3 linked regions of the Sus scrofa genome follow. The protein of the gene in region 3 purifies or fractionates together with the protein of the main gene of each other region. This does not show direct contact. Links are inferred from orthologs where the notes say so. Each region holds a gene or a part of one and is shown on either strand. Other genes may lie near its edges.

Region 1 (4,169 bases), on a different chromosome or scaffold from region 3:
GAGGCTTCGGCTTCCAGCCTAAACTAACACACAAGCATCCCCATCCATCGGTCACACAGGACACAAAGCCCCACTTTAGCCATGAAGCTAGTAACTCATTCACCAGAAACTCGTCTTCCTCGGCATCTCCCACTTTCTCAGCCCACATCCAATCTACCAAAATATCTCTTGCATCCGTTTTCTCATCTCCAGCAGTATCAGCACCCAAGTGCCAGCTACAGGTCTCACCTGGAGGTCCGTGAGAGCTCCTGAATTGGCCTCTCCTACTGTTGCTCCTCCCCAAAGTATTCCTTTTTTTTTTTTTTTTTTTTGCCTTTTTGCCTTTTCTAGGGCCGTTCCTGCGACACATGGAGGTTCCCAGGCTAGGGGTCTAATCAGAGCTGTAGCAGCCGGCCTACGCCAGAGCCACAGCAAGGCAGGATCCGAGCTGCATCTGCAACCTACTATCACAGCTCACAGCAACGCCAGCTCCTTAACCCACTGAGCAAGGCCAGGGATCGAACCTGCAACCACTGAGCCACCACGGGAACTCCCCAAAGTGTTCCTTTAAAGTGTAAACTGGACCATGCCACTCCCCAGCTCAAAACTTGTCCGTGGCTTCCCACCACCTGCAGGCTACAACATCCTGCCTGACCTTGGCCCTTACCTCTCCAGCTTTATTCCAGGTCACTCTCCCCCTTGCTCTTTATGTAGCCCCACCCTGCAGCGCTCCTGGTACACAATAAACATTCAACACATGTTTGCTCAATGAATGAAGGGGATATTTCACCTGTCAGTAAACTAACCACCCCAGAAGCTACAGGCTGTGGTCCAAGTGGACAAAATCCTTCAGGCCCACCCTGCGGGCCACCTCCACCACCCAGGACTAGACCTCTCCTCACTCTAACTGGCCTCACTACAGACAAGAAGCAGATGCATTCAGTCATCACTGGCCGGGCTATCTGGCAACTTGGGCTGCCGAGAGGAGAGCCCAAGGCTAAACACTTACCTCCTCGGCATTTTCCAAGTCATCTAGCCCTTCGTCCTCCTCCACATCGTCAAAGTCATCGCCATCAAAACTGTACAAGAAGAAAGCAGAGCATCACTTACAAGAATCAAAGAGGGCATAGATCTGATAAGCAGGAGGTGCTCAATAAATATGCACTTACTGAGTAAATCATTTTATAATAATAATTTATTAAGTCATTTGATGTCCTCAACTTACTAAAACAAAGCTTCCTTTTCTTTTCTTTTGGTTTTGTCTTTTCTAGGGCCACACCCGCGGCACGTGGAAGTTCCCAGGCTAGGAGTTTAATCAGAGCTGTAGCCACCAGCCTACACCAGAGCCACAGCAATGCCAGAGCCAAGCCGCATCTGTGACCTACACCACAGCTCATGGCAACGCCGGATCCTTAACCCACTGAGCAAGGCCAGGGATCAAACCTGCAACCTCATGGTTCCTAGTCAGATTCGTTAACCACTGAGCCATGACAGGAACGCCAAAGCTTCCTTTTCTATTCCCTCCAGAGCCCTATTTCCATGCCCCCCTGTGGGAGAAAAATTCATGAAAGAGTCGTCCATCTTCGCCATTTCCAATTCTTCTCCTCACATTCTGTCATCATCTCACTCCCAAAGACTTTCAGCTCCTTGGCTCCACCAAAACCACTCCTTTCAAGTTCATCAATGATTTGCACGTTGCTAAATCCACTGGTCTATTCTTGTTCTCATTTAGCCTGATCTGTCAGGTGGCACACCGAATCACTCCCTCTCACTCAAAACACTCTCCACTGGAGTTCCCGCTGCGGCGCAACAGGACTGGCAGCATCTCTGGAGCACTGGGACACAGGTTCGAGCCCTGGCCCGGCACAGTGGGTTAAGGATCCAGCACTGCTGCAGCTGTGCCATAGGTCACAACTGTGGCTCGGACCTGATCCCAGGCCCAGGAACTCCAGATGCCACAAGGGCGACCAAGAAAGAAAGAAAGAAAAGGACACCTCGCGGTCTTGGTGTTCCCCCGCCTCACAGTGGCTCTTTCTCAGCTTCTCTTCCCTCCAGGCACTCCACAGTTAGGATGCTCTGACGCTCATTCATCTCCTCTTCTCTACTGACCACCCACCCCCCTGCCGCCTCCCCATGATCGCCCCCTCTCTTAGCTTTGACTAATACTCTTATGCTAAAGACGCCTCTATTTTTGTCTCTCCTCCACACATTCAGGGAATCTTTCCGGTTCTAGCTTCAAAATAAACCCAGAAATCAAAACCACTTCTCACTACCTCTACTACGATTACCTAGTACAAGTCACTCCTTTTTTTTTCCTGGATTACCGCAAGCCTCCCAGACTTTTACCACCTCAAGTCTCCCCAGACCCTCCGCTGGGTTTCTTTTACATACTTCGTGCAATTCACACGACCCCTGCAGTATCCGTCTGTGGGCCTGTCCCCTTTTCTAGAAAGGGCCCCCTACCTGAAGAGCAGGAGCTATGCCTAATTCACCTCAGTAATTCCAAATCAAGAGACAGAGCCCGACTCCGTGAAAGTTTGTGGAAAGATACCACGTTCACTGATTCTCTCCGGATCCTCAAACTGGGGCTTTTCTTGGCCCAGCCTGTGACCAGGTCTAAGCTCCTGGTCCCCCCGCCTTTCCCTTCTTCAGCTCCGCGGGCCCCTCAATACCCCCAGTCCCCTCACGCATTGCCCCTCGGTTAACGGCTCCTTAACCTCCTTTGACCAGGCTCGGCAAAGCTCACTTTGCTCCCGCACTCACTTGTCCTCGTTGTCAGACATGACGCCCGCGCCGCAGCTCCCTGGTTCTGCGCTAAGAGTCGCGCGGAGACCCGCAAACTGCGCGCCTCCGCCACGAGCTGCGCCACGCGCACTCTGCGCCTGCGCTGTGACCTAGAGGCAATTGCTTCCGGGAGGATCGGCAGGGCGATAGTGCGCACGCGCCGAGAAGCTAGAGCTTGTTACCATGGTAGCCAGAGTGTATAACCAGAGCTTGAGCAGCGGAGATCTCAAAAGCATTCCTGCAGGGCTCCGGCGCGGGTGCTCCTTCAGAGCCTAGCGGCCACTCTCAGTGGGCACCCAGCCGGAGTCTTACCTAAGAGTGAGGTTTCCGTTTGGGTCTATCACACAACGGGCAAGGTTACCCTAACGCCCCTTTCCTCCAGAGGTGGCTTCCCTGCCACAGGCGCCGGGTCTGGATGAGGTCTCTGTTCGCATGTGTGTATCTGCCAGTGGATCTGTTCCGGGTGGGAGGATTGGGCACTGTCGCGATATTGATGGGCGGCGTCACGATTCTCTTGCGGGCCCCGCCCCCGCCAGACCCAAACTTTGGGTGGTGTTGGGGATGCGGAAGCAGAGGTTGTATATGGGAGACAGGGGGTGTGTCGTCGCGTTTTTCCCTCCTCAGAGCCCTCCCATGGCTTCCCAGGAGAGGGTGGAGACTGTGACCAAAGGAACTGGCTTCTGGCGCTGCCCCAAGCCGGCCGCTTACACCCCAAGAACCTGCGAGCTGCTCAGAGGTCAGTGGTGGTCGGGCGGGGCGGGGCGGTGGTGTCAGTGCATGAAAGGACAAAAGGAGAGCGGTAGTCACTGTTAACCTCTGTAACTCAGTTCTCACCTGCATGACTTATGGCTTGCAATTGCTGTTTTCATTTTTCAGATAAGAAGCCTGGGGTTCAGGAAAGTTTGGGGGTCCTGCAACTCGAAAGTGGCCAAAAGTCAAAGAACTCACGAATTTTAGAGTAGTTAACTGCTATGCATCCCTTATATCACACTTTTTTTTTTTTGGTTATTCTTTTTTTTTGTAATTGTTATTTCCCCAATACAATTTTTTTTTTCCTACTGTACAGCATGGTGACCCAGTGACACATACTATATCACACTTTCAATTTCTCCAGAGAAGCCTTATTTCCTCCCCACCCACCACCAACACAGTGCAACCAACCGTTAGGTGCCCACACACTCCCAGTGCCTTTTCCTTCACTGGGCTTAGCGTAACCTGTAGTCAGATACCTTGTGTGTCCCTATGAATTCATGTTGAATTAACATCCATCTGCCCTTCTAGTTCATGAACTCCCATCAGGACACGGTGCCTGTTTTGGCTCGCAATTGTAACTCCAGCCCCTGGCACATGCTTAATGACTGCTTGTTCATTCACTCAACAACAACAAAAAAAGATTTTAAGCCCAC
Region 2 (4,234 bases), on a different chromosome or scaffold from region 3:
ATTTATGTGGTAGGGGCAGAGGATTTTTTGCTCGCATTTCTAACACTTCCATGTAATGAGGCTTCTTCTGTGGCCCACGCCAAAGGCCAGTCAAGTTCTCCAGACTCGGGTTTCCTTCTGAGTGATGTTCACCAGGGTCTGTAATAGTGATCCTTTGCAATCTATCAATAAACAGGTTCTCCGAGCTGCTAGAATGATCCTCTACTTGACTTGAAATGTGATGCTGAGGGAGTCGCTCACTGGCTTCAGATGAGGAAGGCACAGCGGCTCTGCTGCTGGAAGGTGGGCACTTGCTCACTGAGTGTTCGGGCTCAGGGGCCTCAGCATTGCCTCCATGAGTAGGATGGACCAGGCCCCGCTGTGAGGTTGTCTGAGACGACGTGATGGTAGCTATAGAGGAGCAGCCAGGAACTAGTGATGAAGTATCAAGTATCTGGTCAGAATTCTGGGCCGTATCTGTTGCCACATCAACAACTGTACTTGCTTTTGTCCTCCACTTACAGTCTAAATTAACGGGATGAAAGAGGTCACTTCCCCCTCTAACTTCTTCATGTTCTTCAATGGCAGCTTTCAGTTTGGCGACAGAGTCTATGATCTTTCTACCTTTGTCGGGCAATTTGCAAATGAATTTTCTGGCAAAAGGAAAAGAACAGGCATATGTGAGAGAGCCCTGTTTTTAAACTTGAGATATAAAGACAAAGAATTATTCTCAAAGGGAGAAAAGCTGATCTTTAAGTAAAAAATCTGATTTCCAACTGGCCCCAATTAGGAATGAAATAAGAGAATCATTATCCAAATACTCCCCCCCCAAAAAAAAACAAGTGGCTGCATGAATAGGAAATATGCCTCATGTGTCTCATCTAATTAGAATTTCAGCAAAAGTATTTTAAGCATATGATACTCATTAAAAGACATCCCCCAAATTAGCAATTTTTAGACGTGTGATATGCAAGACCTTCCTGGGGAGGGTAGGTAGATGGACCTGCAGGGTCAAAACTATATAACACTAAGACACTCTTTGCCATTTTCATTCTCCTTTGCTTACCATCAGCACAGGAAAGGTTTGCAGAGGCCACCTCATATGTGATGATACCACTGCTCTGAGGATTAATAGAATGTGTGTACTTGTCTTTTAAAGATGCTCACTTGTAATTCCTAAGGCAATGATAAATATCAGTAGATATACCACATATAAGACAAGAGCTCTTCAGGATGCTTAAGCGTAAAAGTAGTCTGGAGAACAAAAAGTTAATTTGCCACTTACAGATTAAAAACCCATTCTCAGAGCTCCCTTCGTGGCTTAGCAGAAAGGAATCTGACTAGTATCCATGAGGACGCAGGTTTGATCCCTGGCCTCTGAGTGGGTTAAGGAACCGGCGTTACCATGAGCTGTGGTGTAGGTTGCAGACGTGGCTCGGATCTGGTGTTGCTGTAGGCCAGCAGCTACAGTTCTGTTTTGACACCTTGCTTGGAAACCTCCATATGCTATGGTGTGGCCCTTAAAAAAAAAAACAACAAAAAACCAAAAAAAAAAACCATTCTCACGAAGTCAAAATAGTTGTCTTTACTAGGAAGCTCCCAAGTGATCACTTGTCCCTTTTGCTGAGTGATAGAAGTTCCTTTTCTGATTTTCTTTTCTTTAGCCACCCAATAAATGGGGAGGGAAAGTTACATCTCATGCCCTCTACTCTTTATGACACTATATTCATGCCCCCAATTCTAACTATTAAACATCCCTCTCCAGTTAGGATGCCTCTATTTTCCCATCCTTCTTCTCTCTTAAGCCTCATGACCACTTCTCCAGTTTTTAACCTGATAGAATCAACTTCTATCAACCCAGCTCCCCTAAGTGAAATCAACCTCAGATCTACTCCCCTCCCCAACTTTTCTATTTTTATTACTAGTGCCTCCAGTACAGGCAAGAAACTTCAGCCGTCTCTGTCAACTACACATCAAATTATTCCATATCTGATGTAATTTTCCCAATCCTACAATGACCCTTATAGTTAGTTCACTTTCTTAAACCTCCTTGTCGAGAGGCTCTCTGAAAATATTCTCCTACTGTCTTCTGCCTCTTACTCCCTCAAAACTATCCTGCACAAACCTGCTAAAATAAGGTTAAAAAAAAATCATGTTCATTATATCGATCCTCTGCTAAATTCCATTAACTCTATCATCTAAATGTTAGCCAAACTTTCTTTGCCTATAAGCCATTTTTTTAATTCCCCTCTTCCCACTTCCTGTAAAAAGAGAATCTAGAGATGAAATTGACAGGATGTTTGGGGCACGACTGGGGTGGTGGGCAAAGGCAAAAAAATTTGGGATACAGACCGTCCGTTCGGAAAACCGACACAGAAGCTGAGTACGTAAAACGAGGAGGAGCACGGGAAGCCATCCCACATGCGCTCCATGCCTGGCTGGACGCGGTCAGCTCTACGGCTGTAGGCCGGCTACTCGCCCGCGGACCTCGCAAAGAGCTGACTGTGACAAGGTCACCTTCCGAGGAAAGGATCGGGGTGGGGGAGGGGAGGGGCGCGTCCCGGCTAGCCCGAACCCAAGGAGACCGGCGGTGACTCCGCGGGACCCAGGCTTACACGTTGCGCAAAAGTCTCTCCTGGCGCTTCAACGTTTCCCGCAGCTCTGCCAAACTCCGCTGACCCAAGTCCTCGGGAGGTTGGGGCTCGAAGCCGCGAGGCAGCGAGGACATTCTGCGGGAGCTGAGGCTGGCGAGGCGGCGGGCACTCGACGTCCGCGACAGCTCCCGCTGCGGGCGCCGGATCCGCGGCGGGCAGGGACTCCGGCGAATGAGCGGGAGTCGCCATTTTCCCGGAAGAACAGGGCTTCTTCTAGCCGAATCGAGCTTTATTGAAACGCCGGAAACAAACACGGACAGGGAGGAGGGGGTGGCCGGAGGGGCGGGAAGAGGCGGGAGTTGCGGTGAGACGTCACACGCCGGCCGGGCATGTTTGGCGTGGTCAGTCTGTTACCAGTTTCAGCTCTTCGCCTGTTTATTCAGAAAGTATTTGGTGAGTGCCCCGCTCCCAACTGTTAAGGTGTTTACCGCGTGGGGGAGAGGGTCAGATGCTTATCAGGTGACAGTCAAACAATATAATTGTACGATGGGCCCTGGCATCTGAGAAGTACAAGAGGAAATCTGAGTGATGAGTTACCATTGATAATGTTGGGGAATGTGCCGGATAGGGCATGGGAGGCCCCGGCCCATGGCGTGGCCCGCCTAGTCCGAGGTTCAGTGAAGTTAGCAGATATTAACGTTGGAAGAACCTTTAAGGACTACCAGCGTTTCTTAATGAGGCTCCGGCGTTTGGAGCAGGAGTCTTCTTTTGCGGCACTGAATTAGGCATTGCATATCTGGTATTTGGCTTCTGTGCATTAATTGCTTTAGCACTCCTGAGTCCTTATAACAGTACCAAACGCATCCCACCCACTACCATCCCCAGCACGCTCATACACACAATTCCAAAGGCCCGCAAGAGGTGATGGGGTGGGAGGTGCTGTACAAGCCAGTTGAGAACCTCTCACAATTCCGTATTTTCCTGCAGAAAAACAGACAAAAACTGATGTAAGTTTTCCCAGGGCATGAAACTAGTAAGTGACAACACCAGATATTAAACTCAAAAGCCCAGCTGCTCTACCACACCAGTTTGAAAATCTTCCAAACTGTAAGAAGGTGTTTTAAGCTGTTGAGGAAAGCAATGCAGTAAGCATCACATCTAGTGCTTAGCTTCTCTTAATAGTTAAGCTAGGAGGGCTGTTTCCCAAAGGAAATAGTAGGAAGCATGCTAGTCTCACAGCATACATCACTTGGGAGGTTTGAAAAACCCCATAACCTCCAACACCAGCCTCCCCCTTCTTTGATATGGAAAATTTACATTTTCTCAGTCTTTTGTAAGGTGATATGATAAACACAAGCAATTCCCTCCCAATCAGACAGAAGCTCTAAATAAAATCGGAAACTGCTTCAGGGTGCACAGTTGAAACCGTTTTTGTGTCCTTGTAATCTGGTCCATTCTGATCAGTTTTAACTAATGTATTAACATTCTCAACATAAGGCCTGCTTTTAAGCCCAAGGATTTCACTAACCTGCTCCAGCCCTGGCTAAGTGAGAAACATTTGAGTAAGGCCTTTATCAGTTAGCTGTCCCCTGGCAAGCTCCTGCAAAACCATCATCATCCTGCCCCTGGACCTCACCTGAAGGCCTTTATTCCCTGCCATG
Region 3 (3,644 bases):
CTATCCTCCCGGTACTCACCTCCTCTCCTGTCACTGTCACTAAACTCACTCTCACCAGACTTTTACACCCCAAACCTTCCCATTAGTCTGACAAATACATGGATTCCCAGTGGGTGTCCAACACCGTTTTAGGCCCTAAGCCAACAGGAAACACAAAGGACAAAAACTCTCTCCCTCCAAGTTCTCATTCTCAGGGAAGAAAAGAAATAATAGATGATATTTTACTCACTTAAAGAACTCTAGAGAAAAACAAGGCAAAAGCGAAAAAATTAGGACATTTTAAAATAAGGAGGTCAGGGTAGGCTTCACTGAGAGAATACGGCCTGTGTCAATGTGAGAAGATCATTCCAGGCAGAAGAAAGAACTAAGTGCAAAGGCCCTTAGAGAGGAAAGTGCCTGGCAAGGAGCCAATAGGACTAGAGCGTTCTGAGCAGAGGAGACATGACTGAACTTCCACTTTAACACATCACTCTGGTTACTATGATGAGGACACACGGATGGCTCGGGGACTAGAAGGCAGCAGCAAGACCAGATAGGAGCCGTTGCAATAACTCAAGTGAAGGCGGTGCTGACGCGCTCGAGGTAGTAGCAGTGGAGGTGGTAACAAGGAGTCAGACACCAGCTTTAGTTCAGACCAACAGGAATTATGAGGGGGTCATTTACTGAGATGGGGAAGACTACGAGAGAAATTCTGGAGGGAAGATAAGTTTGGTTACTAGTAATATTAAGCAAGAGGCTAGATGTATTGGTCTCACGTCCAAGGGAAGTCAACACTAGATATGTAAATTAAGGAATCATTAGCATAAAAACTGTTGTTTAAAGTCATCAAACAGGATAAGGACCTGTCAGTGAAACTAACTAGGAAAGAAGACTAAGTACTCAAAATTAAGAGGTGAAGGGGAAGAGGAGAAACCAGCAAGAGAATTGAAAACCTGGTGGCTTAAAGCAACACAACCCCTGGTCTCGCTCAGTGGGTTAAGGATCTGGCATTGTCCTGAGCTGTGGTATAGGTTGCAGGCATGGCTCGGATCTGGCGTTGCTGTGGTTGTGGTATGGTGTAGGCTGGTGGCAACAGCTCCAATTAGACCCCTAGCCTGGGAACCTCCATATGCCGTGGGTGTGGCCCTAGAAAGACAAAAAAAAAAAAAGAATGGTGACCGCTAGGAGCTGGGGGTGGGGAAATTAGTTGCTATTTAATGTTATAGCGCCTCAGTTCTGCAAGACGAAGAGTTGTGGAAATTGACTACACAACATGAATGTACTAAACATTTCTTAATGCACACTTAAAACTGGTTAAAATGGTAAATTTTATTAGGTGTATTTCACCGTAACTAAAAATAAAAATGAAGAGTTCCTGTTGTGGCTCAGCGGTTAACAAACCCAACTAGTATCCATGAGGATGTGGGTTCAATCCCTGGCCTCACTCAGTGGGTTAAGGATCTGGCGTTGCCATGAGCTGTGGTGTAGGTCGCAGATGAGGCTCGGATCCTTGCTGTGGCTCTGGTGTAGGCTGGAGACAACAGCTCTGATTGGGCCCCTAGCCTGGGAACCTCCATAAACTGTGGGGTGCAGCCCTAAAAAGACCAAAAAAAATAAAATACAATAAAAATGAATAAATAATTTTTAAAAGCCATATAAGTCAGTGAAAACAGATAAATGAAACCATGTACACTGCTAATTTTATATTAATTTGCTTCCAATTTTGCAGATTGTGACTGACAGAATAAATGAGGTGGCCCCGGAAACCACAAAAAAGTTGGATTTAACCAGGAGGTAAGTTGGGTTTTTGCCAGAAGACCAGAGTGAAGGGGAAGGAGAGCGAAAGGGACTGAGGGTGTGTGAGAGAGTGATTATAAAGACTCCAAGCTGAAGAACGAAGAAAACAAGACCTTAAGGGGAGTAAAGGCTGGTAAAAGGTGGACGGATCAACAGACTGTGGGACCAATGAGCTGTTACATCCAGTGGGTGTAACTGTTGCGGGGGTGGGGAGCAGAGAGTGAGCCAATACGCTTCTTGCGCGACTGAGAAGGCCTCTGTGCTGTTCTGCAATGAAGCACAGCCCTGCCTGAAGGTCTTCACGCGCACAGCTCTCTCTGCCTAAGTGGCACTTCCTTCCCTCCCTGATCCTCACTTCCTGCTTCCTAATTTGGGGGGGAGGGGGCCTCTGATCAAGAACCACCTCACCAGGAAGACCTTCCCTGAGCACCTTTGGAACACTACCTCCTTCAGTAATCCTCTGCCCACCTACCCCACCTCTGCCTTATTTTCTTTGGTGCACTTAACCTGTAAGGGGATGTGGGCAGGGCACCAAGGGCAGATGCTTGCTATACAATGCACCTCAAACATCTGCCGAATGAAGGAAACATTTCATAAGAAACCTTGACTTCCTTTAAATGGCTAGAGAGGAAATGAGTGAAGAGCCAAGTCAAGAGACTAGAGGAAAGAAACGGTGGACCTCAGACAGGAGTGGTCCAAGCTTCTGCAGTGGAAAGAACACAGGCTCTGCAGCCTAGGCTGAAGAGGCATCTGGCACAGAGCACACTCTCTATGAGTTCATGCCTCATTCCTTCCTTTCAACTGCCCTCACATAAAGCAGGAATAATACCAACTGTTTAATTGGGGGTGATCATCAAGAGGGCAAAAATGACATGACTAACAATACAAACCTGGAGTTCTTGGCACTGAAGGCACTATCTTCTGTGGGTGTGTCAGTGTACAGTGTATAAATCACAGCACTGAGGTTTTTTCTGGTAAGAGGATCATGAGTTTAACGTCTTCCCCCTCCTCAGCCCCCCACGCACACAATTTGCACTGTGTTTTCAACAGACCTTACTTGTTGTATTGAGTACCACAGGTTGTGGCACGCTAGCATTTCTGCAATAATTCCTAGAGTCACTATTCAAGCTTGGACTATTCCAGCAGCTTCTTTGTTCAGCATGTGAGTTATGTTTGCAAATCCCAAGATGACAGAGAACCCAATGCCACACGGAAAGTCTGTACCTGCAGACATAAGCATGTCCTGGGGTTTGATGCACTGGAGATATGTCCCCCTTCCCTCATCTTTCACCCAAACTACCTTCTCACCTGTTATTTTTTCCAAAAGAGAAACGTCTTGTACTTCCTGGGGTAAAGAAGCAATTTTCTGTCGGACAGTAGCATCCCCTGATGCAGCATTTTCCAGGTCCTGCAAAGCCTTGATTAGTTCTTCGGTCTAAATGAAAACACAAACAACACTATGCATTAAGATATATGGGGGCATGGGGTTTAAAGAAATAGTTAAACAAAGTAGAGGCAAATTCTAAAAATGATCATCCTTGACATTAAAAAAAAAATCATTTGTTCTTATCCCAGAGCATATACTGAAGTCAATGATACGAATTCTAAGAGAATGCAGAGTTGATTTTTCTAAATCCATAGTAGAACAGAATTGAAATTCCACGTAACCGTTAAAACTTTTTTTTAAAGAACATGTTTTCAGCAGCTTAAGAAAATGGAGTCTGGTTCACATTGCTTAGTTTCAAAGGATGCCTTTCTACTGTAGAATGGCCTCCAATATAGAATAAAGGTAAATGCATCAGATGCTTAGCAACTGTGTGTTGACTGAGTAAATTCTTTTTTGGATTTTTTTCTACAAAATGATTGTC

The links.
Region 1: the proteins of RPRD1B (region 3) and POLR2F purify together in Homo sapiens (affinity purification with mass spectrometry; 4 studies listed by BioGRID and IntAct, counting the BioPlex papers as one, with this or other methods). This does not show direct contact. The link is inferred for Sus scrofa from reciprocal best matches to the Homo sapiens genes RPRD1B and POLR2F.
Region 2: the proteins of RPRD1B (region 3) and POLR2M purify together in Homo sapiens (affinity purification with mass spectrometry; 3 studies listed by BioGRID and IntAct, counting the BioPlex papers as one, with this or other methods). This does not show direct contact. The link is inferred for Sus scrofa from reciprocal best matches to the Homo sapiens genes RPRD1B and POLR2M.

Annotation. Positions count from the first base shown.
Region 1 is NC_010447.5:9,914,848-9,919,016, forward strand, and holds the start of POLR2F (DNA-directed RNA polymerases I, II, and III subunit RPABC2), read right to left. Parts: upstream 2,875-4,169; 5' UTR 2,763-2,874; coding exon 2,743-2,762; intron 1,059-2,742; coding exon 989-1,058; intron 1-988. Other genes in the region: C5H22orf23 (UPF0193 protein EVG1), read left to right, coding at 3,196-3,499. UniProt on the Homo sapiens protein: DNA-dependent RNA polymerase catalyzes the transcription of DNA into RNA using the four ribonucleoside triphosphates as substrates.
Region 2 is NC_010443.5:114,263,997-114,268,230, forward strand, and holds the start of POLR2M (protein GRINL1A), read right to left. Parts: upstream 2,867-4,234; 5' UTR 2,708-2,866; coding exon 2,595-2,707; intron 2,534-2,594; exon of another isoform or gene 2,412-2,533; coding exon of another isoform or gene 2,332-2,411; intron 633-2,331; coding exon 1-632.
Region 3 is NC_010459.5:41,121,445-41,125,088, reverse strand, and holds part of RPRD1B (regulation of nuclear pre-mRNA domain-containing protein 1B), read right to left. Parts: intron 3,212-3,644; coding exon 3,085-3,211; intron 1-3,084. UniProt on the Homo sapiens protein: Interacts with phosphorylated C-terminal heptapeptide repeat domain (CTD) of the largest RNA polymerase II subunit POLR2A, and participates in dephosphorylation of the CTD by RPAP2. Transcriptional regulator which enhances expression of CCND1.